Linked DNA regions of Cricetulus griseus. The protein of the gene in region 2 interacts with the protein of the main gene of each other region in a biochemical or structural test. Links are inferred from orthologs where the notes say so. Each region holds a gene or a part of one and is shown on either strand. Other genes may lie near its edges. The genes, in order: Pdzd3, Cftr and Prkaa1.

What was found.
Region 1: the proteins of Cftr (region 2) and Pdzd3 form a complex in vitro, tested with the Homo sapiens proteins (2 studies listed by BioGRID and IntAct, with this or other methods). The link is inferred for Cricetulus griseus from reciprocal best matches to the Homo sapiens genes CFTR and NHERF4.
Region 3: the proteins of Cftr (region 2) and Prkaa1 form a complex in vitro, tested with the Homo sapiens proteins (2 studies listed by BioGRID, with this or other methods). The link is inferred for Cricetulus griseus from reciprocal best matches to the Homo sapiens genes CFTR and PRKAA1.

The regions. Positions count from the first base shown.
Region 1 is NC_048597.1:155,936,241-155,939,996, forward strand, and holds the start of Pdzd3 (Na(+)/H(+) exchange regulatory cofactor NHE-RF4), read right to left. Parts: upstream 2,825-3,756; coding exon 2,809-2,824; intron 2,438-2,808; coding exon 2,410-2,437; intron 2,274-2,409; coding exon 2,200-2,273; intron 1,891-2,199; coding exon 1,679-1,890; intron 1,441-1,678; coding exon 1,251-1,440; intron 1,157-1,250; coding exon 1,020-1,156; intron 836-1,019; coding exon 631-835; intron 458-630; coding exon 261-457; intron 175-260; coding exon 1-174.
Region 2 is NW_023276806.1:208,285,452-208,287,939, forward strand, and holds the end of Cftr (cystic fibrosis transmembrane conductance regulator), read right to left. Parts: intron 1,962-2,488; coding exon 1,856-1,961; intron 835-1,855; coding exon 634-834; downstream 1-633. UniProt on the Homo sapiens protein: Epithelial ion channel that plays an important role in the regulation of epithelial ion and water transport and fluid homeostasis. Mediates the transport of chloride ions across the cell membrane.
Region 3 is NC_048595.1:339,157,531-339,161,186, forward strand, and holds part of Prkaa1 (5'-AMP-activated protein kinase catalytic subunit alpha-1), read left to right. Parts: intron 1-555; coding exon 556-800; 3' UTR 801-3,656. UniProt on the Homo sapiens protein: Catalytic subunit of AMP-activated protein kinase (AMPK), an energy sensor protein kinase that plays a key role in regulating cellular energy metabolism.

The DNA.
Region 1 (3,756 bases), on a different chromosome or scaffold from region 2:
GAAGCAGAGTCTGAATCCATAGCCACCTCCAGCCCCAGGGTACAAGAAGCATTGGCGGGAGCCAACAGTGTCAGAAGGCTCAGCTGCATCTTCAACTAGATGATCCTTGGTTTCCGCCAGAGGGGAGTCAGCAATCTCTGTGTTCTCCAAGAAGAGGAGAGGAGACAGCCGTACCTGGTAGTGGGGGCAGAGAGAGCAAACCTGTGGCACTTGAGCCCTGCTCCATCCCTACCCCCTCCCTAACCCTGTCACTTACGCACCATGCTGAAGAAGCGGTCAGCCTCAGGATCAACGACAATAAGGGAGACACAAGAGCCCTGTGCTCGGATCCTAGACACGGTTTCCTCATGGCCCAGCCCGTCCACACTTTCCCCAGCCACAGCCACCAGGCGGTCTCCAGCCTTCATCCCAGCCTTGTCAGCTGGCAGTCCTGGGTCCACATCCCACAAGAACTGCCCTGGGACATAGACATATTCACTTCTCCTCCCTGACTCACCCCATGCTCTCCCGGGGACACTGAGAAGAGTGCAACTGGATATATATGACCATCCTAAGGCCCACTTACACACACACACACACACACACACACACACACACACACACACACACACACCTCGGGCTGCCACTCACCAAGGCGACCATCCAGGCCCTTCTCCTCCCGGAGCAGGAACCCAAAGCCTTGAGGTCCTTTCTCTATGTTTAGACACCGGGGCTTGGCAGGCAGTGCCCAGCCCTCTGCCAGGGGTGCAGCAAGAGGCATTCCCAGCTGATGACACTGTTCCTCTACCTCCGGCCCCGCCACCAGCAGAGTCACCTGATCTCCACTCTGCGAAAGCTGTGGGGACCCAGCAAGAGTAGAAGCATGAACCATCCATGGGGGGGATGGAGAGGTAGATATCTCCTCAGCACCTCCCCCCAGGCCCACACAAACTGTAGAGAAAAGAAAAAGAGGGGCGACGTATACAGACCCTCAGATCAGGAGGCGGGGTTCACGTAGCAGCCGCCACAGGAAGCCCTACCTTCCTACTGAGCTGGTTGGAAGTGAACTTCTCCACACAGACCCCATTCACTTCTAACAGCCGGGCCCCAGGGGGCACTCCTGCTCTCTCAGCAGCTCCTCCTGAACTGAGCACCAGCCAGAAAGGGCCCCGATTTCCTAAAGGCAGACAAAGTAACTCCCAGTCTGCTCCTTGCCTGGAACAGAGTCTGAATTTCCCATCTCTGACAATCCCATCTGGCCCTAAGCTCACCATGGGTGATGCTGAAACCAAAGCCACCTTCGTCTTTTACTATGTGGCACAACCGGGGCCTGACCTCTGGGCCTAGGGCAGGACAACAGAAGACATCGCTCCCCTGCTGAGCGCGCACCACATCATGTGCATGTTGCGCTAAGACTGTCAGCAAGACCCGGGGACCGCTGGCCCGGATGCAGCGTACTACCTATAAAAGGACATGGGAGAGAGGTTGGCCCCCTGGTGGGATCCCAGGACCCCCTTAGAATTTGTATTTCCATTGTAGAAATCAGTTCTGTAGGAGTCTTTATAAAGCGCTCTAACTGGGTACCTCCGAATCATGGGGACTAGGGAGAGTGAGGCTTGGCCAATGCATTAGAGTGCCCAGGCAAAGAAGTGCTATGGAGTGTTCCTTTGTGCCACAAGAAGTCTCAGCCCAGCCTCACCATCGCATAGTCCTCGTGTTCCACGTTCTTATTGTTCACCGCTAGGATCCGGTCTCCTTCCCGGAGACCATGACGTTGGGCAGAAGAGCCTGGATCTACCCTGCACACCACATGGTCAGCCTTGCCCAGCTGCTGCTGCAGATGGAACCCAAAACTCTTTTCCTCCTCTTTGCTCAACAGACAGAAGCGAGGCCGCCGCAGGTTCCAGGGGTCTAGAGGAGGAGGTAGACAGCAAAAAAAAGGAGGGGACACAGTTCAAGTACAGGACCATCAAATGACTGGTAGCCCCTGAGTCCCATCAGAGCACTGGATAGCTTCCAGACAGTGAGAGGGTGGGCTTAAGAGCCGAATGGACACTTCATGGGCAAGGTGGCTGACACAAAGGGTGAGCTGCCTCCCTCTACCTCTGCTTAGTTACTGATATCACTGGGAGGCAGTTAGTGGTTACCAAGGTGATAGGAGACTGTGGCACTGTAATGTCTCTAGGGAAAGGTAATGGTTGCCAGGGGTGAGGGTGTTACCAGACTGGTCCTGGTCTTCAGCCAGGGAGAGGACAGGATTGTCAATGCCCAGCCTTGGATTAAACTTAAACTTCCTGTAAGGAGGCAGGAGAGAGAGGCAAGTAAGAGGAGTACGTTGCTGGACTGGGGTCCCAGGTCCTACTTGAGGTGCTGATGAGAGCTGAGAGTCCCACACACACCTTCGATTCTTCTTCAACCCTTATAACTTACAGAGTTAATGCAGCTGTGTCTCGAAGATCTGCTGGACAAAGGAGACGTAAGAGTAGAGACACACTCCTCCCCGAGATGGAACTTCCATGATAAAAACCTGAAAGGGCTTAGGAGAACCCCAGACCCCTCCCATTCTGCTTCACTATCTTCACACACGGGAGTGTTACCTCCCTCTTATTTCCCTTCCCCAGTTCTGTGGCACATAAATCTGAGACTACCCGCACAGGGTGTGAACCAGGAAGATAGACGTACACACTCACCTCACTCCTCTTTAGCTCTATCTATTGCCTCAGAGCTACAAGCCCCAATATCAAGTGTGTCTTAGACCCAAAGACTCCAAATCTGTCCCCTCTGCTGCTGCCCAAAGTCCCCTTTCAAGGATATCTCCCCACCTCCTACCTGCAGTTGCCTCCATAGTTGGATCAGTGACCCAGGACTTAGAGTAGGGACAAGGTTCATTATAACCAGCTGACCCTCCCACCTGCCCCTTCCCGAGTCACGCCTCCTTGAAGACGCTGCAAGGAAGCAATAGGGTAATGGTTAACAGCAATGGGACTTAGTCTCTGGAAAGTCAATGTCTATGTTCCTTCTGCTCTCAGTCCTGGGCCCTACCTGTCTCAAGAGAGCCTTTAACTAACCCAGTTGTTCTTGTGTCCAGAAAAAAAAAAGGAGATCACTGGTCATTGGAATTCCAGGCTGGGGGCAGTAAGTATGAAAAGGGGGATTGGAATTCTAAGGCCCAGCATGGAAAACCTCATCCCAGGGTCTTACATGCAGCCCCTCCAGCAACAAAATTATCTAAAGATATTTATGTCTTTTCCTTTGGCTATCAGACTATTCAAACACTGGATCCCAAAGATTTGGAATTTCTCCAGGAATCTTAAACTGGAGAAGAGAAAAAGATGAAGCTCTCCCTGGTGCCAGCCAGAATTTGTCTCCCAAGAAGAGATGTCACAGAGTTCTGACAATTTGTCAGATCACCTCACAGGACAGACTGGAGCAGAGTCAATGAACCAGTGGTTCAAAACCACACCCTGACAGAACTGCTTAGTAGGCATACCTCTTGCCCTCTCCTGTATTTAAATCTAAACCCCAGGTCAGGACCCTGAAAGATGAGCTGGGGGCGGGGAGGGGGTTGTCACTGGACCTCTTCTTCATATGGCCACCTCAGACAAATCTCCTTTCTCCACTTTTCTAAGTTAAAAAATTTACTTATTTATAGCATGGAGGTGGTGGTGCATGCCTTAATCCCAGCACTTGGGAGGCAGAGGCAGGCGGATCTCTGTGGGTTTGAGGCCATCCTGGTCTACAGAGTGAGTTCCAGGATAGGCAGGGTTACACAGAAAA
Region 2 (2,488 bases):
AATAAGCTGAACAACTAACCTGGCTGGCATTTATAACTGCCTTTCCAGCTCCTAGTGGGGGGCAAATGTTTCCAGGAAAATTTGGCTTGCAAAACACAAGTGGCCCATTGTCAAGCAGTGCCTTTCAAACAATCTGGCCGCCACTAGCAAGCCAGTGGCCCAGACCCATAGGATTGCTCTTGATTTCTCTTCCAAAACAGTCTCTTAAAAAGCAGAGATGGGGGCTTCACCCTATTTTCAAAGGCACAGATAGTGGGGTTCTCCTTCTCAGGGTCCATGAACAGACATCCCGCATGATTCTTTTCCAATCATTTGCACTGCTTTCTAGAGTCTGTCTTTTTATCTTTCCCTTTTCCTCCTCCTTTTCTTCGTTTTTCTTTGTATACAGCTATTAATGTGCATGTGTGTTCATGTGTGCTTGCATGTGGAGGCAAGAGGATATCTTCAGGCACTGTCTCTCAGGTGCCTGGCCTGCAACTGTCTATGTGGGCTAGGATCACTTGCTAGGATCCACCTGTTCCTGTGTCCCCAGCCCTGGGGTTAGAAGCACAGGGCATGCCTGGCTTTTTCATTTTGCATGGATTCTGGGAATAGACTCAGGTCCACTGAGCTGCTTCCCCAGCATCCTGGCCACTAGAGACGGGTTTCCTGCACTTCTTCTTCTGTCTCCTCTTTGAGAGCAGTGATCTGTGATCGAGGCTTCTGCTTGGTGGAGTGGCGGCCCTGGAAGAGCTTCATCTTTTCCGAGGGACTGATGGCCTGCTGGAAGACACTCTTCTCACTCAGCAGCGCCTGCAGGGAGTTGTACTGCCACACGGTGCCCTCTTCAATGACCTAGGGAAAAGGCCATTAGTGAAACCCCATACAGAGTGAAGAGCAAGCCAGCTCAGGAACAGAAACGGACCTAGCCCCAAAGGAGAATAAAAATACAAAGGAAACGCAGAATTCACAGCCATGTACACTTTACTTAACTTTTACATCTATGAATGGCTCTGAAAGTAGCAATTGGAATTTCAAAAAGTCATCTAATGCCAGGTGTTACACTCCTTCAGAGAACTGTAGGGCAACTGAAAGAGGTTTGTAAACCTGAATGATCCATGATCCATCTCTCATATACTCTTAAGATGAGCTGTATAAACCATACCATAAACTTTGAACTTCATCAAAACCGAGTCTGAGGCCTAACAATTCCAAATTGGCTAGGCATAACTGATTATAATGCCTGCAATGCATGTTAACGTTTTGCAAGTCTGAGGCCATAGAGAGCGTTACCCAGTTCCTGAATTTGACCCCAGCAGAACAAGAGATGCATCTTCTCTATAGTCACTTGCAGCTGAGTAATGACAATAGGAGTAAAAACGCTTTGGTAAGAAGAGCATTTACCTCCACAACAGTTGGCAAAGAAAATGACAAGGTGGCCGACAAGGGCACTAACCTGACTTCTAGACGTAATGAGGATAATTAAACAGGCTTCTCTCCTATTGCACTAAAACCACAGACAGTAAAGCCCATCCCTTATCTTCCCCAGTGGGAGTTTAGTTTATTGAAAGAAACAGGTATTTTTTCAATAGTACATTTTATAACTTGTTCCCCCAAATAAAGACCTGAAAGCACAGATGCTTGGTCTACAATGCCATTTAGCAATATGCTACCACTGGGAGTGTGCTAAATTTCAGCAGCACATTATAGCTCAAGTCAAAGGAAAAGGACACATGTAGCCACACCTAGGAGAGCTGGAAGATGTGTGGCATATGTATGAAGGAAGGGACACATGACTATAGTTTATAGTAACTGATGTGTAAGATTGTTAATAATAAATTAGGAACGAGACACTGAAGAAGTATAAAAGACTCACCAAAAATCGCTGACAATCCAATATTGCTTCTATCCTGTGTTCACAGAGGATTACTGTGCAACCACTGAAGGTGTGTTTTAGAACCTTTCGAATTATTTGGTAGGTTCTAGCAAAGCAAGAAAATACCACATAAGTATAATTTGCCTTTACCTTTGACAATATGCACAGTGTCCTATAGATTTAGTTCTTTACTTAAAAAATACTTTTACCATTATGTTGATACAGAATTAGCCATGGTCATCTTTCTAACAAGGGATACATTCTAAGTATTTCATACATTAATGAGACAAATGTTTATAAGAAATTTCATGAAGAATGAAGCTACATTTTATGTAGATTCATCATCAGTTCTTTATTCTGCAGTATTAATGAATTTGTAATAAAAATATAGAGATGGATAAAGATACAGAAAGAAACAGAGTGTTTACACCTAAGTAAATATTTCATCATATGTTGATGATGTTGAAGTGTTTGTACGAAATTCCAGACTCCAGTCAGGAGAGGAAACAGGGATGTTATGGAAGAAAATAAGTACATGTTCAATAGTGACTTTCTCCTGGACAATTTTTTTGTTGCCCCTACTTGCAGGCATGGTATCAGAATGGGGATTTGTATCAATGAAGTAAAATTCAA
Region 3 (3,656 bases), on a different chromosome or scaffold from region 2:
ATTGTTGCTCTGTTATGCTCGCAGATGAAATAGGAGAAACTGCAGAGTGAAAAGCACTGAACTGAAGTTGGGAGGGTAGAGTGCCCAAATGGCCGAACCTTTCTGTTCATTTGTTTCCTTGAACAAATCATTGTTTTCTCTGGCTTTGTTTTATATTAGTAAAATGGTTCTTGGCTGAGATGATTTCCAAGATATCATCCATATTTCAAGAGATTGATTCTGTGCTTTTAATAGAAAAGACTTTTAGTGGTAGGGGATTTTTTTTTTTTTTAAATTAAAACTCAGGTTATTAGTTTCCTGGCTCTTAGTGTAAAAGTCAAGAGTGATAGATTGTGTACCCTGTGTGAACTGGTCATCCATCATAGGCATTCTCCATGCTGTGTGGAGAAACTGTGAGTGAGTGGCTTAATCCAGGCACAGTACCCCCATTTGAGAATGTATTTAAATTACACATGCTCTGGGGAGCTAGTCAGTAGTCTCACTTAAAGAATCTGATCCATACTGTTGGACCTCTCAAGGGACAAATAGTAACATGTGGGAATTCTTTTCACCCAGATGAAATAACAGAAGCCAAATCAGGGACGGCTACTCCACAGAGATCGGGATCCATCAGCAACTATCGGTCTTGCCAAAGGAGTGACTCTGATGCTGAGGCTCAAGGAAAGCCGTCAGAAGTTTCTCTTACCTCATCTGTGACCTCACTCGACTCTTCTCCGGTTGACTTAGCTCCAAGACCAGGAAGTCACACAATAGAATTTTTTGAAATGTGTGCAAATCTAATTAAAATTCTTGCACAGTAAACCTAAAACTTTGCTTATTTCTTTGATGCAATAAGCATGCATAATAAATTATAGCCAAACACTTCCACTTATCAAGTTTTACATATATATATATGTGTGTATATATATATACATATATATATGCATATATCTAAGGATTGGCCTTTGGAATGCAGTTTGCACAGGGATTGGAAAATGATAAAAGCCTAATGTGCGGAAATGAATTGGGACCATTCTGTTGTCCCTTATTCAATAGATATATACAGCAAAATATATACAGAATGGATTGTAGGTCTCACTTGATTTTTGACCATTTTAATTTGGTGTAACAGGGCTTTGTAGGCCATAAATTTACCATAAAAGCCTTCACATATGTTGATGTGTTTTATATTTGCTTCATGAATTAATTATTTGCCTAGAATTCCCCATAGACCTTCTTAAGTGATGCTGTTTTCTGGGCTCCTTAGCTTCTTAAATAGCTACTATTTCCATTTCTGGTAACATTGTGAACGATTTCCACAACATTAAAATGCTGTTTTGTGTGGTAAGTCATACCAGATACAGACTCAATTTAAATCTTTTCTTTAGCTTGTAAGCCCCCAAATCCATAGAATTTATGTATTCAGAAACCCTGAGCCCTAAGTTTACTTCTACAATTTCCCCCTTTGATTTGTATATGAAGTGCTGCTTTGGATCCAAGAGTGGAGTTGCTCATACTGTACTGAATCATGTTTTTTCACTGTCATGGATTCTTCTGGCTGTCATGCCAGCCACTGTTGAATGTCATTTGATTGTATATTTTTAATATTGATTCAGTGCATAGAAAGGACATTTTTTATAAGCTTTGAATACGTGGATTGGATTTTTGACCCCTGATTTTATTCTGGACATTTAAAAAAAAAATACAGTGATCGCATGTATGTCTACTACTTAGTTCCAACAACTCCTATTTGGCTGCATTTGCTCTCTAGATGCACATATGTACAAAAACAGATATGCATATATGTTTGAATGTATGTATGCTTTTGTTCTGAACCACTGAGATGTTAAGAAACACATACTCAGTCCTAAATACTTAAGCATCTCCTAAAAATAATATTGTCCTTTAAGAAACTCTTGAATGCATTATAAAACGAGTAATTTCCAGACAGTGAATGGCCTTCCATATTTATCTCTTAACTGTCCAGAATCCCGTTTATATTTACAGTCTCATTTCAGCTCTATCTCTTTAATCAGGTAAATAATATTCTGAAAAGGTGGAGAAGGGATCAGTTCTTAAAATGGTCAAGTTTATTTCAGGTTTTACTTTTAAAAAATTAGTGGCTATAGAAGTAATATCTTTCTTAGATCTCTGATTTCTATGCCTCTCCTCTTTCAGTGACAGCACAGCATTTGAGTTGTAAATGAAGATTTAAAGTCAGGGAAGATGAAGCTTGGTGTTTTATGAGCAAATAATGTCTTATTGTCCACATTTGGCTTCTATTGAAGTTTAAGAAATTGGGTATGAGGCTCTAGCTCAGTGGTGGTGTTTGTCTAGGATGCACCCAGCATCCTGGGTTTGATCCCAGCAATGCAAAAATACATTTTCTTTAAACATTAATCATTTTCCCTTTGCAGGAGAGATATTTTTTTCACTATATTTATTTTAATCCCCCTCACCCCCCAATGTGTTGAGCACTTACGTAACCAGAAGGGAATGAATTTGGAGGTCATGATAGCTTGGTTTATGCACTGAATTCCAAACAAAGATTATGATTCTTTTGTTCAGGGCTTGTTTTATTCAACTCCAATTTGGATGCTGTATAAAGTAATGGATCCTCCATTTAAATGAGTTCCGAACTGTATTTATACCGAGTGTGTTTGTGTGGGCGAGTGTGTGTGTGTGTGTGTGTGTGTGTGTGTGTGTGTGTGTGTGTGTGTGTCCTCTGTTTGGGGTTTACTGATATTACTTATGATGTCCAAATGCAGCATTGTGTTCCTGATGTGAAGAAAGGAAGAGTGTGTTTTTTTTAAAGTTCCAGCTTTGTAAATAGAACTAAGTAATATCTCTATAAACTGTGTGGAAGGGGAAGGGGCACAAAAGGAGGAACCAATTAAATAGGACCTTCTAAAAATTGTTAATTTTGTAAACTTTGCTTCTTTTATAAGTTATTCTGTGATTCCTTTTAGTTACCGAGTTTTATTTTGAAGATATTTAAATATTGCACTTGTATAAATAGTATGATAAATGCAGACTATTGCAGTCAATTTTTTCAAGCTAGGATATCTGAAATGATAACTTTCAGTTAAGTATGTCAAGCTTGCAACAGAATTTTCACAAATGTATTGTGAATGTAGTTTGCAAATTCTTATATTGAAAATGTAAGGGGAGTCAATGCAAATGATTTTTAATCTTTTTTTATTATCTTTTCAGCAGTTTATATTTTTTTGTGATTTTATGCAACCATATTTTTACTTTGTCTTGATAACTGAAAGCTGTATAAGTTTTTGCCAGAAAAGTACTGTATACATAGTTTTAAAATAACAGATTTTGCTGATATGTAAAAATTTTGCCATTAAAATTGATTTCTCATGAAAGGAACTTTTCTACCAAGTTGGGACACGTGGGAGCTTAATATATCTAATTTAAAATAATTTCATTGAAATAAACACCATTGCTTTTACTTTGATTATATTTTTTCTTAAGATGCTTTTGTAGTGTTTTGGAGTTTTAGATAATTTTATATAAATTCTCTCCCTTCCTTGCACCGTCCTTTGGACTTTTGATGCCATTCACAGATGAGCTAATGTGGTTGGGTGTGTAAGATCTGTGTTCCAAGTGGCATCTTGGGAATGAAAGAAAAACATGTCTAAATCTTTCTTTCTTCTCCTTAACCT